Caenorhabditis elegans: one gene and its partners. The protein of the gene in region 1 purifies or fractionates together with the protein of each later gene. This does not show direct contact. Each region holds a gene or a part of one and is shown in the gene's direction. Other genes may lie near its edges. The genes, in order: ddi-1, F41G3.6 and F21C10.7.

Region 1 (9,959 bases):
AAAATACCGGCTTACCAAGGACTAGCTGCTTATTTCAAAATAGTTCCGAGAATGAGCTCTGAAAACTAGATTTAAATTAAAGTTCAAATTTTATTTTTAGGCAGCTCTACTTTTATTAAACCCATACTTCAATATCACATCTTTATTTATTGTTTTTTACACTGTTGTTTTCAGACACCCAATGTAATTTCCCGTCTACATAAGAAATAACGTATTTTTTAAAGTTCAAGCCTCCGTAAACTGTGTAAAGAGTATAAAACTATGTACGTCACGAGCAGTGAAGCCATAGCATACAAACATTTGATTCCTAGTGATCAAACGTTTTAGCAGCTTTGCTTTTATTTGCATTTTATAATTTTGGGGATTCTGGTTTACAAAATCTGCAACAAATTGTTCTAACTTAAATTTTTTGGCAGTGATGTTTTTAGGCATTCTACTCGTTTGAGGAGCCACCTTTTCTACCACCCTCCACCTAATTTGGAAAAACATGTGTATTTTTAGCTTTGAAAATTTTTTATTGTCGTTTCTCAAGTTTTAAGTAGGAAAATTTTTGTTGGCCTTCTGATTTTTGATCTGGTTATTTGTATTATTTTTCTCAATTGCTTGAAAGCATTTTCACCGTTAAAACATATCAAATTCTTACGTTTAGAATCTTTAAATGGCAGAGGAAGAATATCAAGCAACAGCTACAGCAATCGCTATCACCACAAATCTTCCAAATTGGGCACTTTTAGGTGAGTTATATTATATTTGCATTTATAATAAACATATTATATGTATAATTTTTTAAATACTTTGCGAAACAGCGTTTTCTAATTTTTCAAAAATTAAAAATCCAATTTTCAGCAGAAACACATTTGGTATATATTCAGGAGCAAACTTTCTTAACTCATAATTCTCATCGATTTTCAGACAAATTTAGTTTCTTTTTTTTTTTCATAAAAAGCAACAAATCGCATGATTTTGTTTGGATACGTGGTGGGGAATAAATTTTTTGTTAGATTCCTAGGAAAAATCTTTTTATTTGTAGTTTTTACACCAACCTGAATGCGGCGCTATATTCATTCCCCACCCTGACGAGTATGTATGCATATTTAGTTATTGGAGAAATATAGGATAAAGTTTACCATATTTTCAGATGAAATATCAGTTCCATTGCTTGAAACCGGAGTCGGAACTCTTCCACTACTTCAAGCCGCACTTCCCTCAATTCTCTCAATTTCCCAAAATGATGACAAAGTGAAAGAAAGATATCGAAAAGTTTTGAGGATAGCACAACTTCAAATTGAACATTTATTAGTTAGTTAACTTTAACTTTAAACTTAAAAATGCTTAATTTATTTTTCAGAAATCTCAGCAAGAACTTCTGAAACATATGGAGAAGCTGGAATCGGAGAACATATCCAGAATATTGAAACCAAAAAATATGAAAATGGAAAGAAAAACGTCCGGTGGCTCGCCGGAGAATAATGATAAATATAAAGTATGTTTAAAGACAAAAATAGTAGAGAAATATTAAAGGTGGAACGTCAGAAAAGAAAATAAAAACATTTTCTCCTTAATTGCCCTAATCATAATTTACTGTTTCAAAAATGATTAAAAAGGATTAAAGGACGATCCGTTCTTCAAGTGCTATGCATTGCGGATCTGGGATTCAGGTACACTGCCTGGTGGTGATCCCTCTGGGCTGTAATTTAAATTTAAAAAAAATTTAAAAAAAATTTAAAAATAAATAAATAAAAAATAAATAAAAAAAAATCAAATTACTAACTCTAACTCTAACTTGAAAGTTATTTGAAAATTCGATTTATAGTAAAAAGTACTGAAAACTCTCACCTACCATAAACCTACCATAAAATTAATTTTGAAATGTTGAAAGTTATTTCAGTGCGCCGATTGTGGGAAAATATTTCTGAATGAGAATTTCTTGACATCTCACTTTGAAAGACGACATCCCAAACCAATTGGACGATCTTCTTCGGATTAATTTGGACCGTTACTGGAAGATTTATGAGTTCTGATGCAATATTATGCATCAGTTTTCTTTTTTCTACCAATTGAGTAAATACCAGTTTCTATTGTTTTAGTCCCCAACTTAGGGTTTTCATGACGGCATAAAATGCCTATCCGCCTGCCTACGGTTACCTTTCAGGCGTATCAGCATTTTCAGAGTTCCACCATGCTTGTAGGCAGGCTGATAGGTTTTTTGTGCCTGTTACCCTTACCACACCTTCTATCATATTTTTTTCTTATCTCCTTCCCCTCTGCTTATCATGTTTGAATTCCCACCTTTTTCTTTGCATACGCAACAATTTTATATTCATTTTTCTCCGTTCCATGTCTCAACAAAATCGTACAATTTGGGTCAAATGTCGCCGTTCCGATTCTCTGTATTCTCTATATCTCTATTTCTCATCATCTCTCTCTCGCTTTCGCTTTTGATTTGATCTTCATTAATTATGCGAATTCGTATAAAATTTTTAACTTTTCTCATCGGTTTTCTGGTTATTCTCCCCCTTTTTTGCATTTTAATTGGCAATTTTTTGTCGGCTCATGGAGAAGATTATTTCGATGAGGAGTACGGTAGGTGTTTTTAGGGTTTGTAATAAATACAGTAGAGCAACACGAAATGTGTTATTTATTGTAAAAAATTTGAAACAGCAAATTAATTTATGGTACTTTTATCAAATCGCGTTTTTTTCAGAAGTTCTGAAACCGGTAAATCTTGAAAACTTGGAGCCAACCACAAAACTCGCTCAAAAGCCAAAACCTCAATTTGAAGGTGTCATCTCGAAATCAGTACTTATCGGTTACTCAAATGCAGATAAACTCACGATATTCTCTTCTTTTACTGGAGATGATGGAACTACAGTAATCTTATCGTCCTATGGGTATTTAAAGTAAGGGAAAACAGAATGAACATATTTTTTAAAGTGAAATGTCTTATGTGTAGATGGCTCAGATTTAGAATTTCGAATGAAAATCGTTTCATTTAAGATAGAGCCTTCAAAATAAGTCCCCAAAAACAATTTAGCGGCTGAGCAACACTTTGAATTGAAGAAAAAAAGACTATCTGAAGTTATGCAGTTTAGTTTTTTTCTACTGTTTCAGAGATCCTTAAAATTGCTCCAAAAAGTTGATTTGGCGCTTATGAATTTTACCGAGTTGGTGAACATTCTGGTAGCTTATTGGAGTTTTTTTTCGGAAAAAAACGTAATTTTTCACTCGAATCGTTCAAAAATGTTAAGTTTTATCTTTAAAATTTGTTTAGAAGACACACCACGTAGTTTCTAGGTTCAGAAAACATCTTAACAACAACATGAGAAGTGGAAAACAATTTTATAAGACAGTTGTTAAATTATTTATTTTGCTTTCAAAAAGTGCTCTTCTACCGCTAAATGTTTGATAGTGACCACATTTATACGTACTCTTTCAAATAAAATAGATTTCAGTTGAATGTCTGAATGTAAGCCGAAATCACTACTTTTTGCAATGTTTAAATATTAGGGGTCAAACGTTGGTCAAAGATCGGGTGACTACTCCTGAGCAGCAGCTCCATTAAGCTTAGTGAGCATTCCATATCTATAATTATTTTCAGCCGACGTGTCTACTGTCGTTTATTCGATGAAAATAGGCAGGAAATCTATCAGAAAGCCGTGGCAGTTTTCCCCGAATTAACAATAAAGTGCTCGGAGAGTTCCTCAGTAAAAGCCGAGTTCGTTGCTGTAACTATAAACAAAAAGGATGTTCCAGGGAATATGAAGCAGATTTACAAAGAAAAAGAAACAAAGAACAAATCAGAGTTTACTGTATGTCTTGCTCCACTTTATGGAGAATCTCCGAAAGTGTTGATGTTGATGGAATTTATTGAATATTATAAGTTGCAGGTTAGTGTCTTGGGGTTACGGTAGAGTAGTTATTTTTAGAAATAAAGTGCATTTCAGGGCGCTGACCATTTTCTAATTTACTCATTCAACATCTCAAAGGAAACTGAAAATGTTTTGGATTTCTATAGAAATTCCTCAAACCTTGAAGTAATACAAATGGGAAATGAAACTAAATGTCTAAATCGTCATAGATGCAGACATGAGATGCAGTTACAGGTTTGTTTCAATTATTTTAATTTAAAAATAAAATTAATTCAGGACTGTGTATTCCGAACTCAAAAGTACTCAAGCTGGGTGGCAACGGTTGATTTGGACGAAAGGATCATGATGATTGATGAGAAATCTACTCTTTTAGATTATATCAGGTTTTCATTTTGCTTACTTTTTTATCCAACTCTCTATATTGACAGAAATTGCAATGATCATAAAATCTCTGAACTACGTTTTCGTTGTCAATGGACTCTTCGATATTCTGAAATTTCTTCTGGTGCTCCTCAAATTGAGAATCTTCCAATGATTACTTGGCATAACACCAGCCACGTGGCACCGCAGAATCATACTACAAAATCGATTATTCGGTCCCGAAATGTTGACTCGATGGGTGTGCACGGAGTTCAAAAGTTCCGAAATCCGATCTATGGAGTCCGACTTGTGGAGCCAGAAATTGCAGTTGTCCGACACTATCGATTGATTAAAGGATGGAGTTTCTTTTTAAGAGAAGCCGAATCTTTTGGCAACTTTTTCCATTTTCAACTATCTCCTGGTTTATCTAGTCGTATTATTGAAAGGGTTGCAAAAATTATTGCGAAATTTTAGAACATTACGGGTTAATAAATGTTTTTGATTTGTTTTGTTTTCTGTATTTTGATGTATTTTTGAGAGAATAAAAATATTATACCAAACATTTTGCGTCGGAATACTGTAGCTTCTCGGAAAAATATTTTTGAAGCAAAAACATGTTAAGTTTTTTTTTCAAAATCGTGAATTTTTAACGACAGCAATAATAATTTATTTCGTAAAACACATATTTCCTCATTTACTGGCAGTTTCCAGCAAAAATTACAGTCATTTCACAATTTTAATTCAAAAATTCTCAGCGGGGCGCACTTTCATATCTGTTCCTTGTCATCGTTTTGCACCGTTTTCGTCCTTCATCACGAGAATTTCTCGAGTTTTAGACAAGTTTTTACACTTTTTTGAACAGCTGTTGTCGAGAAAGCTTATAAAGTTAAAGTTAAAATGTTCTACTTCACAAATTCTCAGGTTCCATTCTTTTAACTTTCGAATCTTTATTTGAAAGGACAAAAAGTTTCCCGAGAGAACGGTTTTGTGTAATTAATTTTTTCATCGATTAGATGCGTTTATGCTCTAGAGATGCAGCGTTTTCATTTACAAATACGCAAATGTTCTTCGATTTTTTCTCATTCTTCCTTTTTCAATCTCATTTCTCATTTATTCTTCTAATTTTCAGATGTCTTTCCAAGTGAGCGTAGCCGTTAACGATGGACCATTCCAAAAGAAAAGTGTTACACCAAACACAACTGTTAGTTTTAATACTTAAATGTAATCTTTTATTCAATTTTTTTGCAGATTGGTGATCTGAATAACGACGCAATACTGATTTGGAAAGATACTGCAATTGTCTACGATATTTCGGATGAATCGAAGAATTTTGGTCCAACAGTGACATTAGAGGTAAATCGAATTGTTAAAGAAAATCTTAATCATACTATAAGTTCAGCAACTTGGCGTCACTCAAATTTCAATGGTTTACATATATACCACTGCGTTCCCATGTCCGTCTGGAGATCTCCGATCGATCGTTCCAGCACAAGTCCGGCTCATCTCGCAATTCGCTTCAGCTGCGTCGAGTATTTTTAATGGACAATCGTCTTCCTCAGCACAGTCTGCTCAGAGAACACGGAGAGTTGAACAAGATGATGAAGGTGAAAAATCGATGTTCTCTCGGAAACTTTTGGATTCTCCTGCGACGTTCAAAGCGCTCTCAGAAAATATGTTCTTCCGTTTGAAAAACGAGCCACACAAATTGGGCTACGGTTTGCCGGAACTTGTTGAACGCTTTTTGGCGAAAAAAGATATGACTTACAGTGAGTAGCGCATTTTTTAAATCTTTATCTGACGCCTATCTAATTTTCAGAGGAATTCGAGCAAATGTTCCGTTCCTACGTCGAAGAAGAAGTTCACAAGGAAGAAATTATCAAAAACAATCCAAATTCAGCAGAAGCAAAAATGTTTTTGGAAGCGAAAAGAAATAAAGAACTGATTGATGAACAATATTTACACGTAAGTTTACAATAGAAGCCTGTAAATATATACAAATTGTTATAATTTCAGTCAATGACCCACCACCCAGAAGATATGATTGCCGTCACAATGCTCTACATCAATTTGACTATAAATGGTGTTCCAGTCAAAGCTTTCATTGATTCTGGAGCTCAAAAATCGATCATGTCAATGGCATGTGCTGAACGTTGTGGTCTTAATGGATTAATCGATAGACGGTTCCAGTCAATGGCCCGAGGAGTTGGTGGAACAGAGAAAATCGAGGGAAAGATTCATTTATGTGAGTCAAAAGTTTCCAACATTGATTCACATTCATTTTAATAAATGTTTTCAGGCGATGTGAAAGTTGAAGATGCTCACTTTTCATGCCCATTCGAGGTAATGGCTCGTCGTGAGATGGATCTTCTCATCGGGCTTAATGTGCTCCGTAAGCATGGGTGTTGTATTAATCTGAAAACTTCACGGTATGTTTCCCTCACGAAAATCTCGCGAAATCTAAATTTTTTTTTCTTTTTGAGATTGGAGTTTGGCAACGGAACAACAACTCCATTCCTTCAATCCAATGAAATTGATTCTCATCTGAAAGAGATTATGGCACTTCCTGAAGAAGAAATGCAATTCGAAGATGGATCCACATAGTTCCGCCCCTACAATTTATCCTTCAAATCTCCTTGTCTTTTCATCAAAAACATTTCAATGCCACTTTACTTGTATTTTCTTCACTGCAAATATTATACGGAATTCTTTTTTTTCTGCAAATACACTCTTTCTGTGCGTATCACTTCTTTTTTCTCCATGGAAACTACCACGAGTTGTTCCCATGGGAAATTCCCAGTAAATATCTCAAATATATATTTTTTTTTCATTTTCGCTGTCCATTTTGTTGCCACAGGCGTTTTTCAGGTTGTATAATAGATTTTGTAAATAGCAGCAATGTTCAAGCTGAAGAACGGACAAGAAATTCCGAAATTGGCTCTCGGGACATACGAAGCCAAAGGTGATCAGGTTTGGAATATTTTTTATTTTTGAACTTCGTTATTTTATTTTACCTTTTTTAGCTTTTCGCAGCTGTCGACGAAGCACTCAAAGTTGGATACCGTAGTTTCGACACAGCGAAGTACTATGAAAATGAAAAGGATTTGGGTTTAGCTCTTAAAGTATGAATTAACGAAATAAAACGCAAACATGCTTTTTTAGGAAAAAAAGAATCTGATAGAAAATATATCATTACCCAGACTCGCGTTTTGTGCCAAACATACGTTACGCGGTCTCGGCGCGGCAAATGTTTGCTAATTGCGAAAAGGTGTGCGCCTTTAGAGAGTACTGTAATTCCATTCTCTTCACGTTGCACCATGAATTATAATTGATTTTCGTAGTTTTTCTTAATTAAAGACACAACCATTTTTATCATTCGTGTGAAAATCAATAAAAATTCTGCAGAAACGAAAGCTTAAAATTTTTTACAGTACTCTTTAATGGAGCACATCTGTTTGTATTTAACAAAAATTGTCGTTTCGAGACCGCGTACAGTAGTTTTAGCGGAAATTTTGTCATCTGGGTTATACGCTAGATCGAAAATATTTTTTTGACAAACAACTTTCAGACTCTTCTCCCACGTCACAATATTTGTTCTGAGGATATCTACTTGACATCCAAAGTGTTTCCGTATTCAAGTAAAAATGCTGCTGAGCTAATCAGAAAAGATGTCAATGAATCACTGGAATTGTTAGATAGAAAGTAAGAAGAAATATCAAAATCTATTTAAATTTCCTATGAAAATTTCAGATATTTGGATTTGGTTCTTGTACACTACCCTCGTCCTCTTGACACTGAAGATCTTAATGAAAATAACAAAATGTATCGTAAAGATACGTGGATTGCACTGGAGAAGTTGCATGGTATTATTACAATCTTTATTGAAAAATTGGAAAAATTATCAATTATCCGTTTCCAGCCGAGGGAAAAATTCGCTCAATCGGAGTCTCAAACTACGAACCACATCACATTGAAGAGATGAGAAGTTACATCACAATTGAACCACAAGTCAATCAAATCGAATATCATCCTCACTTCCAGCGAAAAGTCCTCCGCGCCTACTGTAATAAAAACGAAATTCTTTTCCAAGTAAATATTCCCAGTAAAAAACTTTTTTAATCAACTTTTTTAGGCTTTCTCTCCTCTCGGGCGTGGGAACAAGACTCTACTGGGTGATTCAACGATGGAGCGCATTGCTTTGTGTCATAAGACAACAGTTGCTGTAAGTGAAGTGATGACGAATGATCATAATTCTAGTTTTATTACAGAATGTCATCTTGGCATGGATTATGAAAGGAAAATATGGTGTCGTTGCCAAGTCGGTCACTCCATCGAGAGTCGCAGAAAATTACACGGTGAATTTTGAAAAATTGAAAGTAAAAAAAAACTAGGAAAAAATATTCAGAAAATAAACCATAAAATGTAATTTTTATGAAATGTTGCTTATGTTGATGAAAAATTCTTCTGAAAGGAGGAAAAACGACCAAATTTTAAAGCTATTTTTTTAAAAAATCAGGTTTTTTTGTTGAAATATCGGAAAAACGAAAATGAAAACCTTCAATTTTCAGTCTCTTTCCTTGGAACTGTCTGATGATGAGTTCGAAAAGATTAACGGATTGAATCTGGAAACACCATACGTCGAGGACCGTGGATGGTTCGTGCTCTGATCATCTCACTTTCTCCTTCTAATTTATTCTCCTATTTATGTATATATTGTATATATACATTCCATTGAAACACCTTATGATTTTCAACACGTTTTATTCATGAACCATTATATTGTAACCTAGTTTCCAAAACTCGCGAGCTCAATAGCCAATGTGAACTCAGAAATAATCCGCAAATACGAACCAATTATTGAACCATTTCCCAAGATTAGGAATTGTTGCCTTTTAGCATTTGTTAAAGAATGTGCCAAATTCCAGACTAGAATAGCTCCAGAAGAAGCCGTAAAAATATTCAACATCCATGTTTTGAAAAGGTTAACAAATATAGCTTTATTCACAACATAAGGTTGCATGCAATCACTATTGAAAAACGGGAACAACCGCATTGAAAACACTTGACTATTTACTGAGCTCGTTCTTGCGATAACAGCGTGTGCTACAACAAAGGAAGTCAATAAAAGTTCTTTGAAAACAGAGATTTTTAAAATTTTGAACAATTACAATGATATGATTAATAGAACAGATGATTAAAACGGGAAATCCACAGGATGGGTTTTACAAGAAGAACAGCTTGTCACGGAGGTACCCATTTGCATCATCGTGAAGTGATTGGGCTGTCAAGAAAGCAAGTTTGTGGGCATATTGACACGGAGCTGGAACACGAACAGTTCCTTGCCAGTTGTAGTAGAGATGACACAATTTGAATGCAAGCTGAAAAATATAATTTGATGGAAATGACAGATCGAGTAGGTTTACCTGTTGATGCTTGTCCGGACCAAGACCAGTATCATCGTGGATGATATTGTAGGACACGGGTGTTACAGTTCCCTGGTTGACAAACTGCGGAACCAAGTAGAAGTCCATTCTCTCTGGGCGAGTGACAGTTGTGTCGACGACGGTTCCTGGTTGCGGATTGATGGCACTTTTAGACGACGATCCTTGCCTAAAAACTTTTCATTACCGACGTTAAAAACAGAATGCATACTTGAGAATACGCATATTCACACGTTTCGTGACAATGATGAATGCCAGTTTGATCTTCTCTTGAACTTTGTTGCTCAGCTCC
Region 2 (9,433 bases), on another chromosome or scaffold:
GACATCTCAATTGTTTTTACTCAAGGAACGGCCGGAAAATATGGATTTCAGTAGTGGTAATTTCGTTTAAAATAAATATTATTTATGATTTTTTTTCAGATGTTCTTGAATGTATGAAAAACGATCTAGGTGAATACATTCTCACGCAGATTATATCAAACAAAGGTTCCAAACGAGAGCTGGAGCTACTACAATCGCTTCACATTCCACTTTTCAATAAGTACTGTTCCCACCTGAGCATACCATTTGCTCTAGCAGTTGTTCAAGTATTAGGAGATTTGAAAACATGCGAATCAGCTACAGTATGCCTCACATTCTTCAACGCTCTTGTCGAAAATGTTCCAGAAGAGCGCTACGAAACATTGGCAATTGAGTTTTACAAGTATCTCGGAGGAAATGAAGTTATCGGAATGAAAAGGATGAAAAAGTAAGTATTCAAAATGAAATCGAAGAAAATCATATTTTTTAAATTATAGATCGGTAGAGGAATATGAAACAAAGGAGTTCAATCAGATTTCTGCAACACTTCATTCTCTTCGATTGTCCCTGCTCAATAAGTATGTTGATGCTCTGAAATTGAAACTGATTAAAAAAATTATAGATTTATAAAAGATGTTGACGAAAATCAATTTCTTTCTGAATGTGTGGAACAACTTGATGTGGCTTCAGCTTTCCCAGTTAAACAACAATTATGCCTACTAATTGCAAGATTTATCAAGAAATGTACAGATCACAAGTTGGCTCTGGATTGTATTCGAGCATCTGCAAGCATTGTGAATGAGGAGAAAAAGTCACTGAACAGTCTTCCAGCTCTTCGATCATTTTTCCATGTGGCTCTGAGTGGCCCTCAAAGTGATCCAGTTATTGCTCAAGAATCAATCGAATTATTGGAAGCTCAGTTAGCAGTTGCCAGCCAAAGTACTCCGATTGCTCTGATTCTTGTAGATGCCATTACAAAGTATCAAACAAATTTAGATGTAAATTGGGCGCCATTTATTGTGAAGCTTGCTTTATTTGGGCCTGTTCCGAAGAAAGAATCAAGAGTTATTTCATACGCATATTCTATGATTTTCGAAGAAGAAGGCTCATATTTAAAGAAGGATCAAGTTGAGAGACTCGATGAAGTCGTTCAAACAGCAAGATTCAAAGCTGTTTTGTTAGCATTAAAATTATCAACGGTAGTTGATGGCAACGCCTGGCGAATCGCACTAATTGAAGAGATCTTTAAAGCATCCGCCATCATGGATCAAAGTTCAAGCCGATCGTTTGGTCTATCAATGGCTCATCGACAGAAGACGAGGGCAGTAGAATTGCTGCATTTATTGGCTCTGAAAATTGAAGATCAAGTACGTTTTTCTTTTACTTCTCAAAAAAATAATCTCAATTTTCAGGAATCTGCTTCGAAAGTTTTTGATTTCTGCATCAATTGTGTCGTGGATCCATGCCAACAATTTTCGATCAAATTAATTGTTGAATGGACATTGGCGATGCTCTGCGTTAAATTTGAAAAGTTATTCGAAAAACTCATCGATGAAGAGTTTGAGGTATTTTTTGAATTTTATTCTTTTGGAAACCACCAATTTCCAGAAAAATATGGCTTCCCAAAGAATTGGCTCAATTTGCTCATGGCTCAATGTCCTAAATTTAATCGCTCGCGTGGCACCGAAATTTGTAGATTCATGTCTGGATAAAGTGATTGTATGGTGCACTGCTCAAAATTTCCCTGTTAGATGTACAGCTCTAGCTGCAGCTCGTCTCATGTTCTCGACGTTTGATAAGGATCGTCGGAAGAAGTGGAGAATTGTCAAAGCAATTGTGAATTTTGACGCGGAACCGTCTGGAAATTCGAAAAGAGTCATTGATAATCTATGTTCCGATTTCTACTTTGCAAAATTGCATATCAATGATCATTTCAACTTCCAGACAATCCTCTCAGAAATTGCGAAACGTACTGGAATGCCTCCCGAAGAAACAATTCCAAATAATATTATCATGGAGATGAACAACATCACACATCAAATTAAATCTATGAATGAAGATCAAGAATTTCTTTCTGCTCCTTCAGAAGTCTATTCTGCACTGTCGAAGAATGCCAGTTGTGCTCCGAGCATGGAGAATGAGGATGTTGGTGAAGAAGAATCTCCAATTGAATTCGATGAACAACCTGAAAATACCAATGCATCAACTTCGTTCCAACGGAAAATCGTCAAGGAAAACGAGCTGAACGACGGTGGAATTTCACTGATTGTTGTGGCTTCTTTAGTGGATAAACCGAACAACCTTGGTGGAATCTGTAGAACGTCTGAAATTTTTGGAGTTGACACACTTGTCGTTGCCGATGTTCTCGTCGCCCAGGATGCGAACTTCAAAGCATTGAGCATGAGCTCAGAGAATTGGCAGAAAATCGAAGGGGTTAAACGAACAAACTTGCTCCCATATCTTCAAAATCTTCGAGCCAACGGATACACAGTGATCGCAGCTGAACAGACGACTGATAGTGTGATGATGCATGATTTTGTATTCCCAAAGAAGGTATTAAGCTGTATTTTAAGAAAAACGAATAAATAATGTTTTATTTTCAGGCTGTGATTGTTATGGGCGATGAAAAAGAAGGAGTTCCGGTGAATCTACTACGCGCAGTTGATCAAACTGTGGAAATCAAACAAGTTGGGCATACTCGAAGTTTGAATGTGCACGTCACGGCGGCGCTTATGATTGCTAAATTTGCCGAACAAGTCAGATTTGATAAAAATTAAATAAACTTCCCTTGTTAAAGTTGTTGTTTTTGTTGTTAACTTTCTTTTTTGCTCGTTCTTGAACAATAAAATTAATAATAATTAGATGGTGTGTTGAATAAAAATAAAAAGCGTTGAGTTTTCACCATATATTTCTCCAAGAAAAAAGAAACTCTTATTTTTTGCCGTTCTACGATCGGAGATTTTGTGGATTCAATTCTCCGGTGTCTGCGAAAATTGTTGCGAGGTCTCCCAAGCAAACTCGCCCTAGTGCACACCTAACTTTATTTCTTATAAAGAATTTGTTTTTTGCAGCGCGTTGATTTTGCCGGTAAAATAAGAAGAATTGGCTAATCAACAATGTCATCAGAAGTACTTCGAGGCATTGATCCACGTGGATACTTTGCAACTTTTATCAAAGAAGGAGTCTATCCTGACGGACGTGGTCTTCTTGATGAACAAAAACTTGTTTTTAAGGTAATTTTTCTCACGATTCAATTCTATGTAAACTTTTCAATTTTTCAGCAAGGAGAATGTGGCGGTGTTGGTTCATCTGTCGTCAGTACCCAAGGAGTGACTGTTTCGTGTTCAATTCAAGCTTCAGTTTCACTCGTTAGTGATGCACCCCTGGTGGATATCAAAATTGAAGGTTCTCAGCAGCTATCAGAGGTTAGCTACTGAACATTTATTTACTTGTATTCATATAAATTATAGAAAGACGCAGAGGACTGCAACAGTGTCTTGCTTTCGTTATTCACAAATAATTGTTTCGTTCGACGCGAAAATTTGCGATGTTTGGATGTCTGTGGCAAACCTTTGCCTCTGGAATGGCAACTTCATATCATTGTTAAAGTGCTCAGTCTCGAGGGAAACTTTTTGGATGCAGCTGTGGTATTTACAAAAGATTTTGTTTTTTTAAACATAATTTTAAAATTTTTCAGTGCGCTCTCGGTGCCGCTCTTGTAGATGCAAAGCTCCCGTCGATTGTATTAAACCATTCCGAGGGCGACGAATCGACAATTGAAAAAACACAAATTCAAGCAGATTACCGAACAATGCATCGATTGACGCTCGAAGAACCTTTGATGTGCTGTTCATTCGGTATTTTCGTTGACGTTAATTCAGACAAAAAGTCTGAAGTTCTCCTCTTGTCTCCAACATTAGAAGCAATATCAGTGTGTCGAGCAACTTGTTCTGTAATTGTTGGAAAAGATGATCACATGGTTATGGTTCGTGAACGAGGACAGTTTTCTTCTTTCTCCCTTTTAAAGGTATTTTATTGTTATGTAGTTTTACGATCACTAACTTAATTCATATTCAGAAAATGTGTCAAATTACCGCCGAACGCCGACACAAATTCGTGGAGTCTCTTCAAAACGTTGTTTGATTATTTAATTTTGTTGCTCGTTTAAATATGTTTTCTGTTATAAATTGTTGTTTCTCGATCGATTTTCATATTGTTTGGATCCACCAATTCGTTCGATCGAATCGTATCTCATTTTTTGGCATTTTTTTCAAATTTTAATTCTCCATTTCAGATCGAAATGCGATACTTTGGAACTTTCAATAGAAACAGTGCGTTTGATATGAAGTTTTTAGATTCAAAGTTTTTTTATTGCAGAGGGACTCTTCACAGAGAGCAGGGACATCATGGTTTATCAACAAGCTCGAGACGAAGAACACAAGAAGAGAAAAGAAGCAAATCTCGAACTTGATTCCGATAGTCACGTCGGAATGTGGCTTCTCTGTCACCCGGATAATGATCTTGCAATTGGTAATATTATTTCATTGAAATTAAGTTAAAAAATACATTCTCAGCTATGTACACAACGATGGTTCGACTTGCCGGAGAGCTGTCTCTAGAAGTGACACATGATGATATTATTGCCTGGCTCGGAACAGCAATTCGGTGCCATCCATCACAACTGGTCCCACGAGGAGAGGCGGTTTCCATTCGCGACAAGTAAGAATAATTTAAGTATAAACTTCGCAGTTTCTAAGTTACAGACCCACTCTCCCAACTGATCCTCGAGGTGGCGACTGGAACACAGGTGTCGGAATCACACAGACCTGTCTTTTGCTACGATATCTCTCACAATGCTCCCTGGACCAACTTTCAATCGATGAGAGAGCCAATGTCCTGTTTGGTAATATTGTTTTATCACTTGTAGATTTCCAAAATCAAAACTAATTTCAGCTATTCTTCGCGTCTTCAGTGATTCTGACGAAGTCGCCGCATCTCCAGATGCCCAGAAATTTGTTCGTCGTATCTATTCGTCGGGATCACGTTATGATTTAATCGATGCTCTCGCTGCAATTTTCTTCCAACTTTCAAGTAAGATATAATGTTAAGAATTCATCATTAAAGTTTTTGTATTTTCGCTCCAGACGACATTGCAACAATGGCGGACGCTGTTCGCACGCTGTGGAGCATCACAGAGGATGAGCCACTTGTAATGAGACTGACAGTTGAAATTCTGATGTGTTTATGCCAGAGATCTGAAGTTGTCGCTAATCTTCCAGAGTTTAAGGTATATTATAACTTAAATTCTTGATCAACAATAATATTTTTTGTAGCTGGGCGATCAAATGTACTGCAAGCAAGTGAAAATGATCATTCTCGATTTGACGTCTGACGCGCACGAACAAGTTCCAGAATTGCACCAGAAAGATGAGCTCAGCAATTTGGTCAATGAGGTGTTCAATCTTAAAAGATAGGGCACTAATTTCATATTATTTATGTACTTATTTCTCCCATCCGGCTTTCAATCATTTCGTGTGCTATATTTTGAACGGTATCCTTTTCATCCATTCACTCATAATCCCATGACTATTTTGCCAGTTATCATTGCGCATTTTACTGCTATTGCCAATTTGAAATAAATTTCTGTGAAAAGTTCTGAATTCTGAGTGGGCTAGCCAATGTTAATGAAAGAATGGGAAAATGTTATGAAACAATGTTTTTATTCAACATGGCAAAGTAGAAAAGAAACTATTTGTGTCCTGTTCAAATTTCTGAAAATTAAACCTGAATAATTCTGTTTCTCCTTCCTTGTTAACTTACGAAAATCACACCAAGAAAAGATCTGTTTGTCCGTACAACCAGTGGAACAACAATCCAGAGCTCTTAGTATTTCTGTTTGAATAGCTCCACCATTACACAGAAATGCAACTCGTCGGCTCAACGATTCCCCACATGACTGAAATTATTCATTTACAAAAATGCAACTTATTCAGAATGACTCACACGATAGGAATGATGTTTATTGTCACGAGGTTGGAAGTCATTTCCAGAATATGATTCTGATATGACTGCCAAAAGAGCAAAAACCACAATGAGAGGAAGAAGCTTCATTATCTGAAAATTAATTTACATTTGTTTTTGGGCAAGAAAAGAAATGTAAATGAACAAAATAGCTCTCGGGATATTCTTTTTATACCATCGATACAATCTGTAATTTAAGGTGGGTGATAGTTGTTTTCGATGAACAGTTATTTTAAAATACAAAAAACAAGAAAAATTATACGTTCCATTCACTGAAAATACAATGACGCTTACAAGAATCGGATATCTTCCAGACAGTTCAAGGATTTTTCTGAAAACAAGAGACTACTATAAATTGTGGAGGAGCATAAATGTGGATGTTTCTTCGATGCACCATGAATAGTCTTAAAAATCCAAACTCAAAAAAACTCGATTTTTTTAAAAGTTTTAGTTAGAATCTCTATTTGAAATTCCTCCAAAATTCCCACTTTCTAACCAATCAGCATCTTCGATCTCTACCAATTCCGTCTGATTGGCTTAAAAATGGGCGGAGCAAATCGCTGATATTATTTTTATTTTGAATTTATTTTGAGTTAGTTTATACATTAGAAATAATAATCTAGTAATCTATTCTGGGTGAAAACCAAGCTCAGGCGTTTGTGCCAAGTTGGAAAATACGTAGTCATGAAGACTTGCCTGACTACTGTGGAAATCCCAGTAGATGCATTATTCACGAAAACGGGTCTTAACTGGAAGTCCTCTAGCAGCACTCTTACTATTAGAAAACGACTATTCGTCAACTAATTACTTTATTCAACAAAAAATATAGTTTCTAGATTTTTAGATTTCGTGATGTGGTTCTTCTTCGTGAGGTTTCAGGGTGCAGAACATTTTCAGATGAGCTTTGGAGCAGTGAGATGTGCAGCATCTTGTGAGAAGACGAACAAGTTCTGAAAGTTTTTTGATATTAATTTAATTTTAAATTTAGGACATTAGATGTTCTCAAGCTTTCAATTCTTCAAAATAATAACTTACTATCTTCAGTAATTCCGTGAATACAGAGTTTCGTGATTCTCGAAATGAACTTTGCATCGCATTTGATGTCTTCAGAGCTTACGGCGAAGTTGATAAAAAGGCTCACTAGAAGCAAGAATTTCAGATGTGTGAGCATCTCGGTGGTAAAATGAAGCCCAAATGAAGAAAAAAGGAGCTTTTTATGTTTATGCTTGAGAGCTAATCAGATGAGAAGGAAGTCGTAGTTTTCTGATATGACTGAGCATTCTGAAGATCGAGAAAATCAGTTATAATCTTAAAACACGGGGATTACTGACGTCACTCGACCAAGTAGCAGGTGAGATTATTTTCAGATGTCCTATAAGATTATATGTTCTGTAATCTACTTATTATGTTTAGTTTCTAATCTTCAATACATTATGATATGCTAATGTGGTTTAGATAATTGAATAGTTGACTCATTGCAGATGGAAATAGAAACATTATTGTTTTATCCGAAAAAAGTGTATCTTTCTGAGTGATAACCAAACCTACAATTTAATGTTTTTGCATTTTGATATTATGAAAATTGTATGATTCATTTTCAGATTTCTGACTGTGTAATTAGACTAGAAAGCTACAAATTTGGAAAATGAATTTACTAGTAAACAGATTTCTTGCCAAATTTCAGACGAAGAAATCAAAGGCAGAAGGCATAGAATATGTGACAATTTAGGAATGAGGTCTAAAGTATTTTCCATATTAGAATTACCGTAGTTTGAAAGCTTATATCTTGGTTGAAAAAAAAATTATCAAAAGTTCATAAATAGAGGAATATTCTATGCGTAACAGGTTTGGACTGAACTCGGGGTATTATCTATAGAAGAAAAAGCTGAGCTCGAGGGAAGATGGTATTAAAGCGGAAACACAGAATTAACTACCATAAAAAGCCTCTGTTCAAAATTTAAATCACGATCCTATACGTAAAAATTATGAACATTTCAAAAATATTTTGTTAAGTGTGCGTGAAAAGTTCTACCACAGACAACGTAAGATAAATAATCATGTTTATTTTCCGTCTCGTAATTATTTCTATTCATTTTGTGTATTTATCACCGTTGAAACATGGGAACGGTTTGTAAAGGTAACATCAAACTTTTCCAATTGTCAATGCCACGCACGAATCTTTAGAAAATAGTGAGAATCAAGTCTCTGAAGGCGTTGAATTGGATAAAGGATATCGGCTTCTAGACTATAAAGTCGTACGGTTTATCGCCAAAGGAGCATTTGGAGCTGTCTATCAGGTATTACATAATATTTTTTCGGGGTTTTATTATTATTATTATTATACGCGCATTAGAAAATTTATATATTGTTTGCAAAGTGCTTGTGCACTTTTTCTGTCTTCTCACCCTCAATCTATTTTTTGACGTCACCATGGTGCTCACAACGACACGGAGCAACAAGCAGTGCTCTCCTTGATGTGCAGTTCTAAACATATATTATATTTATCTATTCATGATAACTAGAAGACTTCAAATTTCCAGATACAGAAGTGTTCGTGAAAATAAATATGTGTTTTTTTTATGATCACTAGCTCTTCTGTAGCTGAAAAAACTTGAAAATAATATTTTAATCGAATTAGTTGGATGATTCAGCTAATTTTTTAAAGTTTCTGCTTGAATGTTACGTTATGATTTTTTGTGAAATTGGAATGAACATTTGCATGATTTAATATAAATATAGGGCACACATTGAACAAATTAAATTTATATCACTTTTGAATTGGATGTTGAAATTCCTTGAAGTTTAATTTAAGAATGATACATCTTTTTCATTCAATAAGTTAGCAAAAATTGAAAAGCTTCCCACAGAAATTAATTGTAGTTTCCATTTCAGGTCGATCACATAAATACTCTACCATTTGCTCTGAAACTTGAAAGCCGAAGCTCTGAAACTAGAAATTTGAAAATGGAAGCTGTTGTTCTCAGGTATCAGGTTCTATGAATATTTCTCAATACAACCAAAAGCTAATTTCAGAAGCCTTCTCCCAATTCGTTCACCTTATTTCTGTCGTGTCTTCTTTTGCGGGAAAGCGGAAAAATTCAATTTCCTTATTATGACTCTTGTCGGAAAGAATTTGAGCGAGCTTCGTGCCAACTGCCCGAATCGAAAGTTTTCACGTCGAACTGGTCTTCAAATTGGAATTCAAATGATCAATGCCATCCAACAACTTCATTCCATTGGGTACAAAACATTTATTATCATTAATGTGTTTTAACTCAATAATTCAGATTCATTCATCGTGACATAAAACCTGCCAACTTTTGCATAAATCTCGACAATCCACATCAACTTGTGATGGTCGATTTTGGAATGTGCCGGAAATATTTGAATGATGGAGGAACTCAACTGAGACATCCAAGATGGTCTGTTCATG
Region 3 (10,419 bases), on another chromosome or scaffold:
AATAACAGAAAACCCTTTTGTTTTCTCGTTAGTCTTGAACTCAAAGTTTTTAACATATATCGTATTACATATTCAATGTACCAATATGTTTTCAAACAATGACATCACATTATCTTATTTTGGTGAAACTCGTCACTTCCTTTTTCTGTCCGAATCAATGAATCAGGACTAATATTATTTCACGAAAGAGTCTTCAAGTGGTTGAAACCTATGTGCATCATGCATTTTATCCCTTCTGTAAACAATTGGCTCTGTAAAAATAACAGGAAAAAAACGATTTTAGTGTTTGATCAAAGTGCCATATAAAGAAAATGGACCGCTCACAAAATAACGAAATTTAGACGTATTCCGAAACACTAACATGAAGTATTTTCTATTAGTTCTCATTTGCACCACAATTAGTGCTGTATTCGCATGTAAGTTTGATCCAAAATATGTTACAAAAAGTAACATTTTGTTTTAAACAGCTGAATTATAAAAACAATCCCAGATTTAACAAGTTAGGATAAAACGCTCACGGAACGGTTAAATTTTTTGTCATAAAGACTTGGCCTTATTAGTCGTCTCGAATTAAGTTAATAATCACTGTAACTTAAGCTAGGTCCTCCTAAAGACATATTACGCCAACTTTCAAGTATTCCATTTTTGTGACTGAGTGGAAGTTTTTCTGTAATATGGAAAAAAATTAAACATTTTCAGATCCATACTACCAAGGCGCGTATAATCCATACTACCAAAGTTCTTCTGATCCCTACTATCAACCATTCCGTCTCTGGAATAGTCCAACAACATATCAGATTGGCACCGGAGTTGTCCCAACCTATTCGGCTCAAAGTTCGTACAATCCATTGTACCCATATTACCAATACAACTGGGACAATTTCAACACCGACTTTTACAATCCATATAAAAATTGATTATCGAAATAAACTATTGACAGCTTTTAACTTTTAAAAAGATTATTGCCACTACTACAAGACTACAATGTTCATCTCGCTTCCGAAATAGTTTATGTTCTCAAATATTTACTTCACATCTCTGAACCCATGTCACAGAAGCAAGCTCATTGAAACAGAAACATTATAAATTAGAAATTTTTTAATTAATTGCGAAATTGAGGAAGTCAATTTTTTATAACAACCCAATCAAAACTTCATCATCATTATTTTGTGATCAAGTGGCAAACTGTCACTCTTTTCTTTTTTCTAGTAAACACCGAGTGTAGATTGTTTGGATTTTCAAATCTTCTTCTCCACAGTAGTTAGTTGAAAAGTAAGAAAGTTAAATAGAAAGAGGCGGAGTGTCCACGAGTCTATTTGCGTTGATTCATTTTGGCAACCGATCATTGAGTATATAAGTGAAAAGGTCGTCGAAAAAGAACAGAAGTTTCACGAATCATGCAGTTTTTAACGATTTTATCAGTTTGCGTTCTTGCGGTAGCCGCTCAGCAACAATGTGAGTTAAAATTCAATTTTTTATGATTCGAACTAACTCAGAATTAAACTAACTTTAGAAAAACGTTAGAATAATTTTAGACGATAACAATGGACAGACATTCACTACGAATCAATTTGCAGCCGCGTATTCTACGAATCAACAATATCAACCTTCCCAAGGTGCTCAATATGATCAATATGGATCTAGCACTCTTCAATACAACAACGGAGCAACCGCTCAACCAATTCAATATAACCAAAATCAACAATATGGTTCCACGGCTCAGTACAATCAAAATCAAATGCAAAATCAGCAAAACTCGAATCAATATTCAACGACATCAAACATGAACAACCAGCAAAACTCTAATCAGTATCAGCAAGGACAACAAAATAATTACGGAACACAAGCACAATATGACGCTGGACAAAATCAAATGGGACAATCTGGACAAGTGCAAGGATATTCCAATAATGGATATTCTAATCAAAATTCCCAAATGAGCCAGAGTCAAGCTAGCAGTGGAAGTAGCAGTGTCTCCCTTATGGATTATTCTTTCAACAATGGAAACTGTCAGTATAAGGATGGACAAGTGATTGAAAATGGACAGACTAGACAAGCCACTCAACAAGAACTTCAACAAATTCAACAATACAGAAACAGCGTTGATCAATACATGAACCAAGTAAACGGATATGTAAGAATTTAAAATGTTATTTAGTCGTCTAATTTTTCGATTATAGGTTGGCCAATGGATTAACTCAGTCTTCCAAACTCTTCCATCAGTCAACAATTCTTTCCCAAATATCCCAACAATGCCAACCATGCCAACGGTACAAATATCTCATTGAGCCCAAATCTTAACATTTTATCTTTACAGGCTCCATGTTTGTGTAACGCTCAAAATTGTGGAAACACTACAAACACCAATGCCATTGGAAATACCCCACAACGTGATGCTTATGGAAACCAAATGGGATCAAACTCACAATTCCAGCAAGCAAATCAAAATGGACAATACCAAAATACTCAATACCAGCAACAAAATGGTCAAAATGGTCAAAATCAATTCCAACAGTCGAATGGCCAGAACCAAAACTCCCAATATCAGCAGACCAGCAACCAACAAATGAACAATCAACAATATCAAACTGGAGATTATCAACAGACCAACACCCAATCAATGGGATCACCTAATACAGGAACACAACAGTCGAATAATCAACAAATGAATGCACAGCAAACTCAGCAACAGCAACAGTATTATGGAAGAAAGAAGTAATAATGTTGATGCTCATATTGTTCCATTTTAATATTCTTGCCTCAATTGTTTCAATAAAATGTTCCATATACAAGAAAAATCACTTTATTCCAAAAATATTTAGCAATTCTTTTAGAGTTTTTTAAACTTTCAGAACACAAATGCAAATCATATTTGACAAAAATTAAAAATTAATTTCCTATGATAACTTAGATACAAACCATGTGGAAAATTTTGTGTTTATTATGTTTTCTAGATTTTTGTTGTTTCCGTTTTATGTTAATAGCCTACATATGTTTTTGCGGAAAGCATAAAACTTGTAGTGTGAAAACAAAACGTGAAAATTTAGAAAAACTCTGATTGCTACCCGAATACTTCGAAAATTTCACACAAATATTCGAAAAATAACTTGAATATCCTTTTGTATGTGTGTTGTTGCAATAAATCTTCCCGATTGGAAATGCCTGCAGAAGCAGCATCCGAAAACGTGGCACTGGACAAAAATCTGAAGAAGCTGATCTCTTGGCTAACTCCGTCGAGATGTGTTCCCATACGTTGTAATGGGCGGATAAGAAACAACCGACGGACGGGTCCCACGACCACACACACCATACTCACCAACACCGCCATCACCAACAATTGGCGCCTTCAATGTGTCTAGAGTACATCTGTTCTTAATTTTTCTTCGACTCTTTTTTTCGATACCAGACGGATAATTTTGAATGGTTGTTTCAAACAAAGAGAATTCAAATTTTTTTGAGTGATAATTTTGAATTTTCATTAGTTACCATTGCTAATTCTTCAATAAAAATTACCTGGCGTTCCGTTCACACAGTTGAATAAAAACTTTTTTCAAATTTCAAGTAGGAAATTATCATTCATTGTAATTGGTTTTTAGATACTCATTCATTCAACAGTGCGTTTTTACAAGTTTAACGCTAGTTGATTTCCTGAAACTTCTGATTTTGATCTGAGAAAAACAAGTTTTTAATAAATTTTAATCCTTCCCCTTTCAATCATTTTTATCAATTTTTTATCAATATACACGAGATTCAATTAACTGATCACTTTTTCTCGGCTTTCTTCTGTTCCCACAATGATCTGATGCTCCTGCTCCATTTTGTTCTCTATCCATCACCTCTTCCTTCGCCTCTCCGCCCGCATTTTTGTGTTGTTGTTCTCTCTATCTCTCCTTTCCTGCTTCATCCCACTTCTTGATGTGCTTTGGCTCAATGTTTTACACTCTTCCTTCCGAAGCAAGAGGAAGATGAGAGAGGATCCCCAGTCAGAACGTGTGTAATAGTAGGAGAGCACCACAGAAAGTTGGACAACCTTAGGAGTGGGCGGCACTTTTTATACTAATTTTTTGTACTTACTTATTTTTATGCTTGGATATTATTTTTCTTGGAGTATTGTATGTAAACTAAATTAACTATACTCCAAGTTTTACAAAGAGACACCTATTTTGAAGTCCGACTAAAAGAAAACGTATGTCTAAATTTTAAACATATTTTGATAAGTCAGAACAAGCGGTTTTTTGTTTTTCACCCTGCTCCCTTCTCTTCCAAATTTTGCCATCAACAATTGCCAATTGTTTGGAAAGCCATCCCAGTTTTCAGCGTTCTTGCTTGATCCATCATCCTTTCTTTCTCCGGTTTTCAGTTTTTGAAATCTTTTAAAATGTCAGATTACCGTATTTTTGTTAGTAATATTGCCCCGGGGTGCTAAACTCTGAGATTATATTACCTGTTGACACTGGATCTTGCATATTTCTCCAAATTTAACAATCTCGCTCAAATCATGTTAATTTTTTTTCAGTAACCAATAAATTTTCCAATATTTCAGAAAGATCACAATACCATCATAAAATGGCGCCAGGAGGGGCGCCGAATGACGCCAACCTCAGCGCTGTAGCGCAAAGAGGACATAGTGAAGAGGGTGATAAATCAACAACAACACTATCAACAATTGCTGTAAAAGCTGGTGTCAATGCATCAATTGTAGTTGCACTTTTAAAGGTTGAAACTATTTTTATTAATTTTTTAAACCTAAATTCTTTAGAGTGCTGGTTATATCCAACTTCGTGTTGATGAAATGCAGCCGAAGCTACTTTCGATAGGAAATTCATCACAAGAAGCTAGAGATTTGCTCAACATCCATGATGATCTCATCAGAAGGCTTCAAGTGAGTTTCTGTCAAAAGTTGTATTATAATATATTTCTACTGTTCAGGACAAAGATGACCAGGTAGTAGCTCTCTTGAGTCGTGCCGACAGCCTCGGAGCAGAAAAGACGAATCCGAACGAAGCGATTGTTTACGACGAAATGGCGAAGAGTTTGCGGGAGGTTTGTATGCATTTCGGTTTTTTTAGTATTCTTACCCAGCTGCACATAAATCAGCCCATTAATCTGCGTAGTGTAGGAATCCAGACGGAATGCGTTTTCATGTTTTTAGTCTTCAGTACGACCTTAAAAATGTCGCATCTTCAGACGTGGAGATCGTTGAACAGACAACTTCTCCTCAGAGGATATATGCTCAGAGAGACTGTACAGTTTTATACATTGGCTGAAAGTCATGAAAAGGTTAGTTGATTTTTGAAACCGTTTTTTATTGTGATTTTATTAACTGCAGTTATCCAATGCTAAAACTATTGAAATTGTGCAACAAATCAACGAGCAAAACTCTCAACAACTTCAATCATCCATCGATAAGCTTATTAATGGTAAGCTTTGATTTTATAATAAGAAAAAATAAATCTGAAATTTCAGACATCATTGACACAACTGCTTCTGTAGTAGATTTGGGATCTTCCGTCATTTCACAAATTCGTACATTGGGACAACTTGATGACAATCCAGAGAGACCACAAGAGATTTTAGATGCATCAGTAAAAATTGAAAGTGTTATGTTGAGGTAAGCAACTTTTTAAAACCTAGGAATATAGTTCTGCAACTTTTTTTAAAGATCTAAAATTATAACATTTTATTTAAAAAGTAAAATTGAAGAGTTGCTGCTGATTGGGAACGATCCGAAGGACTTTGGCAGCAGCGAAAGTCGGGAGCAACACAACAAAATGCTACAACTACAACAGAAGATGAACTCGTTGTTATTGAACAATGGCTAACTTATGCGGAAAAGAAAGTCAAAGCTCTCAACGATGCTGGACAGAAAAATGTTCTTACTGAAGGAAATGTGGGTTCAATTTTATGTACCTGAAAAAGCAATTACACATTTCAGAAGCATGTATCCCGTCTTCGTCACCTAGCGCAGAGTCCATCATCAGACGGGGGACGTATTTCTCATCTTTCCGGTAGAATTGAGGAATTCCTTCATTATCTGAAAACCCGAATGAATCGATCACATCGAATTCACGCTTTCCTTCAAGCCGCAAAATCGATGGTATCTCAGTTGAATATGATGGTTGAAGACATGAAATGCGCAAATGCGGCTATGGCTGGAGAGCTAGCACCTTTGGCAAAGCAGAAAGCATCTCCTCTTATCCACGAAGGAAAGGATATCGCTTGTAAGTTTTCTAAAAATAATTAACAGGTCAATTATCAATAAAAAGAATCGGTAAAAATTATTCTTGCAGCAAAAGAAGTTCTGAGCTACGAAGAACAACGACTTGTCAAGCAATACGTTGAAGATTTGTCAGAAAAGTTGCGTGAGATAGAAGCTCTTGCAAAGCAAAGGAAAGAGTCTGGAAAGACGACTTCTCATGTACGTTACCATTAATTTATAATAACTTCAAAGGTTATAATTTCCAGTTCTCAAACATCCAATCATGGCTGGATGGACAAGCTTCTGCATTCTTAGCACAGAAAGGTGATATGGGTGGAAATTTGAATGATGCTCGTGATTTCGTTGTCTCTCATAAACAATTTGCAACTGAAATCGTCAACCGAGACGCTGACGTTATGAGTCTTCTCGCCAAGAAGCCACAAATGTCTCCAGATGAAGAACAACAACTGACCGATTTTATGAAGAAGTATGAAAAAATAAAAGACATTTCGGAGAACCGAATTCAAATTGGCTCCACTTACGAGCAAGTTCACAAGTTTGGAAAAGACCTTGAAGGTTCATTTGATGCTCTTCAAACACTTTTGGAGAACAATCAAGAATATACAAATGAGAAAGTGGCGGCACAAATTTCCAACGTGTTCCAGATGATTTTAGAAACTTTGAGTCAAGAGAAACATCAAGGTTTGTTACCATAATTTGGTTGGTATTTTTAAAACGTAATCTTTCAGCTGAAAAGTTCATATCAAATGCAACTCAAATCGGAAAATCAGACGAGTGGTTGAATATCCAAAGAGCTCAAGAAGCAGTTCGCAATATGATTACCGACCATGAGAACAGATTCAAATACGTTCAACACAAATGGACTGAGTGGCAGAGAGATAAGGTAAATCGATAAAATGTAGGATTTGCAAAAGTAATTTAAAAATTTAGAATGTACAAACCAAAGTTGAAACTGTAATCGAAGAGATTCAAATGTGGCAGACAGATGTTTTAGAGTTTATTGGAAAGGTCGATAACTCAACGGTCACAAAGAAAGAGGTATTGAATAATTTTTCACTGTAATTTGGTAGATTATTTATTGCTTCAGGAAGTTGAGGAGATTCAGAAGAGGATTGCTTCATTCAAAAGTGCTGCTGATATGCATAAATCAACATTAGAGACATTGAAAGAAGAAAACCAAAATGAAGAACAAATCAGTAGAATCAACGTTTTAATTGATAAAACTGATTACGTCAAAACACGGCTTGATCAGTTGAGCCAGAAAGTTGAACTTACCTCTTTGCTCAAAATTGTGGAAGATGTGCAAATATGGCAAGAAGAAATGGTTGAAATAATAAGAAACATGAATCAAGTTGTCACTACTCAATCCAACAACCAAGAGCAGTTCGAGCAAGTAAGGCGAAAAATTGAAGATTTGAAAGTTGAAGTCGACAAGAAGAGCGAACATTTGGAAGCATGCAAAACACTTTCGCATAGTTAGTTTAAATTTTAAAACATTCAGAAAAAGATTTCAATTTTTAGATGAGACATTCCAAACTCAGCTGCATAAAACAATTGAGAATCAAGAACAAATCCGTCGTACTACTATCGAACTTCAAGAGAAGTTGGAAGTATCAAAGTTGGTTCGGGTGGTGCAAGAGATTCAGATGTGGCAAGAAGAAGCTATTGAGATTATCCGAATGTTGGACAGAACTCAGCCGGCAAGCATTCAAGAAGCCAATGAACTGATTGACAGAGTTCATGATTTGCAACAGACCATCGAACACAAGTCAGCTAGAATTCAAGAAGTCAAAAAAATGTCTCAAGGTTTGTTTGCAACGGTTGCGCTGTTTTTTCTTGAATGCATTTGAAAAACTTTATTTTTTTTTTCAGTTCCCGAATTTGTGCACAAAATGGAAGAGGTAGAGCACGTTCAAGAACAACTCAAACATCTGACAGTTGAATTGGAAGAAAAGTTGGAGCAACAGAAACTCGTGAAAGTAACAGAACATATCCAAATGTGGCAAGAAGAAATGATTGAAATTATCAAGATGTTTGATAGTACGCCAATGAAAACTGTTCAGGTAATAAATTTTTAAAATTTTTCTCACTGTTTACTAATTTTAGGAGAGCCAGGAATTGCAAGAGAAAGTAAAGCTCGTGAAAGAAGCTATTGAAGTTCAGCAGCCAAAAATTGAGGATGTTGTGGCAAAAGCTAGAGATATTGCAGTGAAGACACAAATTTCAAGAGCTGTTGAAAAACAAAAAGTTATCAGGGAAATGGCCGAAACATTGGAGCGTAAGGCTATTTCTGCAACTTTCGAACTTTCAAAACCACAGCAAACGATTGAAGAGACTAAAACTATCGAGCTCACCAGCCTTGAACAAACTCAAATAACATTGACTCCTGAAGAGAAGCAAGAACTTCAGATTCTGAAGAAAATTGTGGAAGAGATCCAAATGTGGCAAGAAGAAACTATCGAAATAATTCAGTTGGTTGATAAGACTCCAAAAACAGTCCAAGAATCAGAGACTAAAATCAAAAAAGTCAATGAAATTCAGCAAACAGTTGTTGCTCAGACACGAAGACTCGAGGATGCATCAAGATTTAGAAAAGATGAAACATTTACAAAAACAGTACAGGAAACCATGACCAAGCAACAACAAGTTCAACAACTAGTGAAGGAGCTTCATGAGAGAGTAAGCTCATAAAAAAATAAAAATAAACACTTTGAAATTAATTTTGCAGGCTGCTTCTCAAAACATTGTTGTCCGAAAACAGGAGGAGGAACGTAGTCGAGTTCAGGCTCCACAGATTATCACTCAACTAAAAGATGATGTAGTGAGTTACTCGAAATCCATTGGAATTTAGCTTTAATAATACAATTTTTTTCTAAAAACTTCAATTAAATATTTTTCTAATTTTAGGTTGACGAAGGTTGTCGATATGAATTCTCAGCAAGAATCAATGGAGAGCCAGAACCAACAATTTCATGGTTGAAGGATGGAATTGATGTGAAGAGCAATATGGATTACCGTCAGGAATATGTGAATGGAGTTGCAACTCTTGTTATCGAAGAAAGTTTCATTGAGGACACTGCTGAGTATACTGTAAAAGCAACCAATACAGGTGGAACCGCATCCAGCAGTGCTAGTCTAATTGTAAAATGTGAGTTTTACTCAAGTTGAGCATTATTATTATTGAACGTTTGATTTTACAGCTAGAAGTGCAATGTCATCTGCGATTCTGGAAGAAGACAAACCAAGATTCGTGAAACAAATGCAAAGTGTTCAAGTGAATGAAGGGGAAACAGCTCGTCTCGACTGTGTAGTTGTTGGAAAACCAGAACCAGAGATCACTTGGTTCAAAGAAGAAACTGCAGTAAAAGAAAGCGAACGAGTTCATTTAACATTCTCAGGGGATCATTGTCAAATGATCATCGATAAAACTGTTCCCCTAGACACTGGAATTTACACAGTCCGTGCGAAAAATGTACATGGAGAAGTAGCAAACTTCTGTCAACTACGAGTTGTTCCAAAGAAGCAACCACCTCCGCAAACCCCTCCAAAACCAAGAACTCCAATTCAAAGACCACCGGTTATTCAACCAGCACTTACAAATACCACGTGGCAAGAGGGAGAAACTGCGACACTTCAAGTATTCTCATATGGTGAACCCAAACCAAGAGTTCACTGGAAATTTAACGATTCGCCTGTTCAAACTTCGAGCCAAGTGCAGATTTCAGAGCAAGAAGATGGTTGGTCTAGACTCACGATTCAGCAAATTTCTCCTGTTAATGCTGGAATGTACACTGTAGTAGCTGAGAATGAGATTGGAGAAGCTGTTACTGGAGCGACTGTACATGTTCAGCCTTCCCTTAAACGAGTTGTCACAACGGAACACCATCTTCAGGAAGATATGAATGAACAAATTGGTCAACCAGTTCAGCAAACCATCATTACTAAAAAGAGTCAGGAGTTGGAAACAAGAGAAAAAACAGATTTCCCACAACCAAGAGAACCTGAAAAAATTGTTGATGAGAAGAGATGGGTTGAACTAGTTGAACAACATTTTGAGGAACATCTGTCCCAAAGATCTATTTCTCCAGTTCCGCAAATCAGAGAAGTACGCAAAACTGAATCACAGCAGAGATGGATTGATACAATTGATGAAATCTGGTCACCAATGAGGGAAGTAGATATTACTGAAACTAGAACAG

The links.
Region 2: the proteins of ddi-1 (region 1) and F41G3.6 fractionate together in Caenorhabditis elegans (co-fractionation; one large-scale study listed by BioGRID). This does not show direct contact.
Region 3: the proteins of ddi-1 (region 1) and F21C10.7 fractionate together in Caenorhabditis elegans (co-fractionation; one large-scale study listed by BioGRID). This does not show direct contact.

What each region holds. Positions count from the first base shown.
Region 1 is NC_003282.8:6,517,516-6,527,474, forward strand, and holds ddi-1 (Protein DDI1 homolog 1), read left to right. Parts: upstream 1-5,351; 5' UTR 5,352-5,358; coding exon 5,359-5,430; intron 5,431-5,477; coding exon 5,478-5,582; intron 5,583-5,628; coding exon 5,629-5,995; intron 5,996-6,045; coding exon 6,046-6,191; intron 6,192-6,242; coding exon 6,243-6,471; intron 6,472-6,525; coding exon 6,526-6,655; intron 6,656-6,709; coding exon 6,710-6,830; 3' UTR 6,831-7,056; downstream 7,057-9,959. Other genes in the region: dzpr-1 (C2H2-type domain-containing protein), read left to right, coding at 659-734, 1,139-1,299, 1,349-1,483, 1,889-1,987; gtnt-2 (Glycosyltransferase family 92 protein), read left to right, coding at 2,460-2,583, 2,705-2,900, 3,599-3,887, 3,945-4,103, 4,146-4,252, 4,298-4,703; C01G5.5 (NADP-dependent oxidoreductase domain-containing protein), read left to right, coding at 7,125-7,196, 7,250-7,348, 7,795-7,928, 7,977-8,089, 8,146-8,315, 8,359-8,448, 8,495-8,581, 8,795-8,893. UniProt on the Caenorhabditis elegans protein: Aspartic protease. Required for the cleavage and activation of transcription factors such as isoform a of the transcription factor skn-1, which in turn regulates the expression of proteasomal subunits such as rpt-3.
Region 2 is NC_003280.10:6,738,641-6,748,073, forward strand, and holds F41G3.6 (DUF2013 domain-containing protein), read left to right. Parts: upstream 1-4,273; 5' UTR 4,274-4,279; coding exon 4,280-4,310; intron 4,311-4,356; coding exon 4,357-4,509; intron 4,510-4,553; coding exon 4,554-4,698; intron 4,699-4,742; coding exon 4,743-4,882; intron 4,883-4,932; coding exon 4,933-5,070; intron 5,071-5,123; coding exon 5,124-5,266; intron 5,267-5,312; coding exon 5,313-5,453; 3' UTR 5,454-5,627; downstream 5,628-9,433. Other genes in the region: T14B4.1 (tRNA/rRNA methyltransferase SpoU type domain-containing protein), read left to right, coding at 1-56, 100-427, 477-557, 602-1,346, 1,392-1,544, 1,588-2,532, 2,583-2,756; exos-8 (Ribosomal RNA-processing protein 43), read left to right, coding at 3,096-3,212, 3,261-3,404, 3,450-3,626, 3,677-4,006, 4,057-4,122; ins-15 (INSulin related), read right to left, coding at 5,699-5,935, 5,983-6,090; ins-14 (INSulin related), read right to left, coding at 6,841-6,950, 7,036-7,171; F41G3.5 (non-specific serine/threonine protein kinase), read left to right, coding at 8,119-8,137, 8,185-8,297, 8,893-8,984, 9,034-9,240, 9,288-9,433.
Region 3 is NC_003283.11:9,108,224-9,118,642, forward strand, and holds the start of F21C10.7 (Ig-like domain-containing protein), read left to right. Parts: upstream 1-4,543; 5' UTR 4,544-4,566; coding exon 4,567-4,716; intron 4,717-4,759; coding exon 4,760-4,882; intron 4,883-4,929; coding exon 4,930-5,043; intron 5,044-5,187; coding exon 5,188-5,280; intron 5,281-5,329; coding exon 5,330-5,420; intron 5,421-5,466; coding exon 5,467-5,611; intron 5,612-5,703; coding exon 5,704-5,890; intron 5,891-5,935; coding exon 5,936-6,221; intron 6,222-6,290; coding exon 6,291-6,418; intron 6,419-6,465; coding exon 6,466-6,901; intron 6,902-6,948; coding exon 6,949-7,103; intron 7,104-7,150; coding exon 7,151-7,258; intron 7,259-7,307; coding exon 7,308-7,695; intron 7,696-7,741; coding exon 7,742-8,026; intron 8,027-8,092; coding exon 8,093-8,283; intron 8,284-8,326; coding exon 8,327-8,899; intron 8,900-8,948; coding exon 8,949-9,041; intron 9,042-9,127; coding exon 9,128-9,368; intron 9,369-9,420; coding exon 9,421-10,419. Other genes in the region: F21C10.18 (Nematode Specific Peptide family, group B), read left to right, coding at 362-416, 700-917; pqn-31 (Prion-like-(Q/N-rich)-domain-bearing protein), read left to right, coding at 1,398-1,455, 1,536-2,134, 2,181-2,270, 2,318-2,719.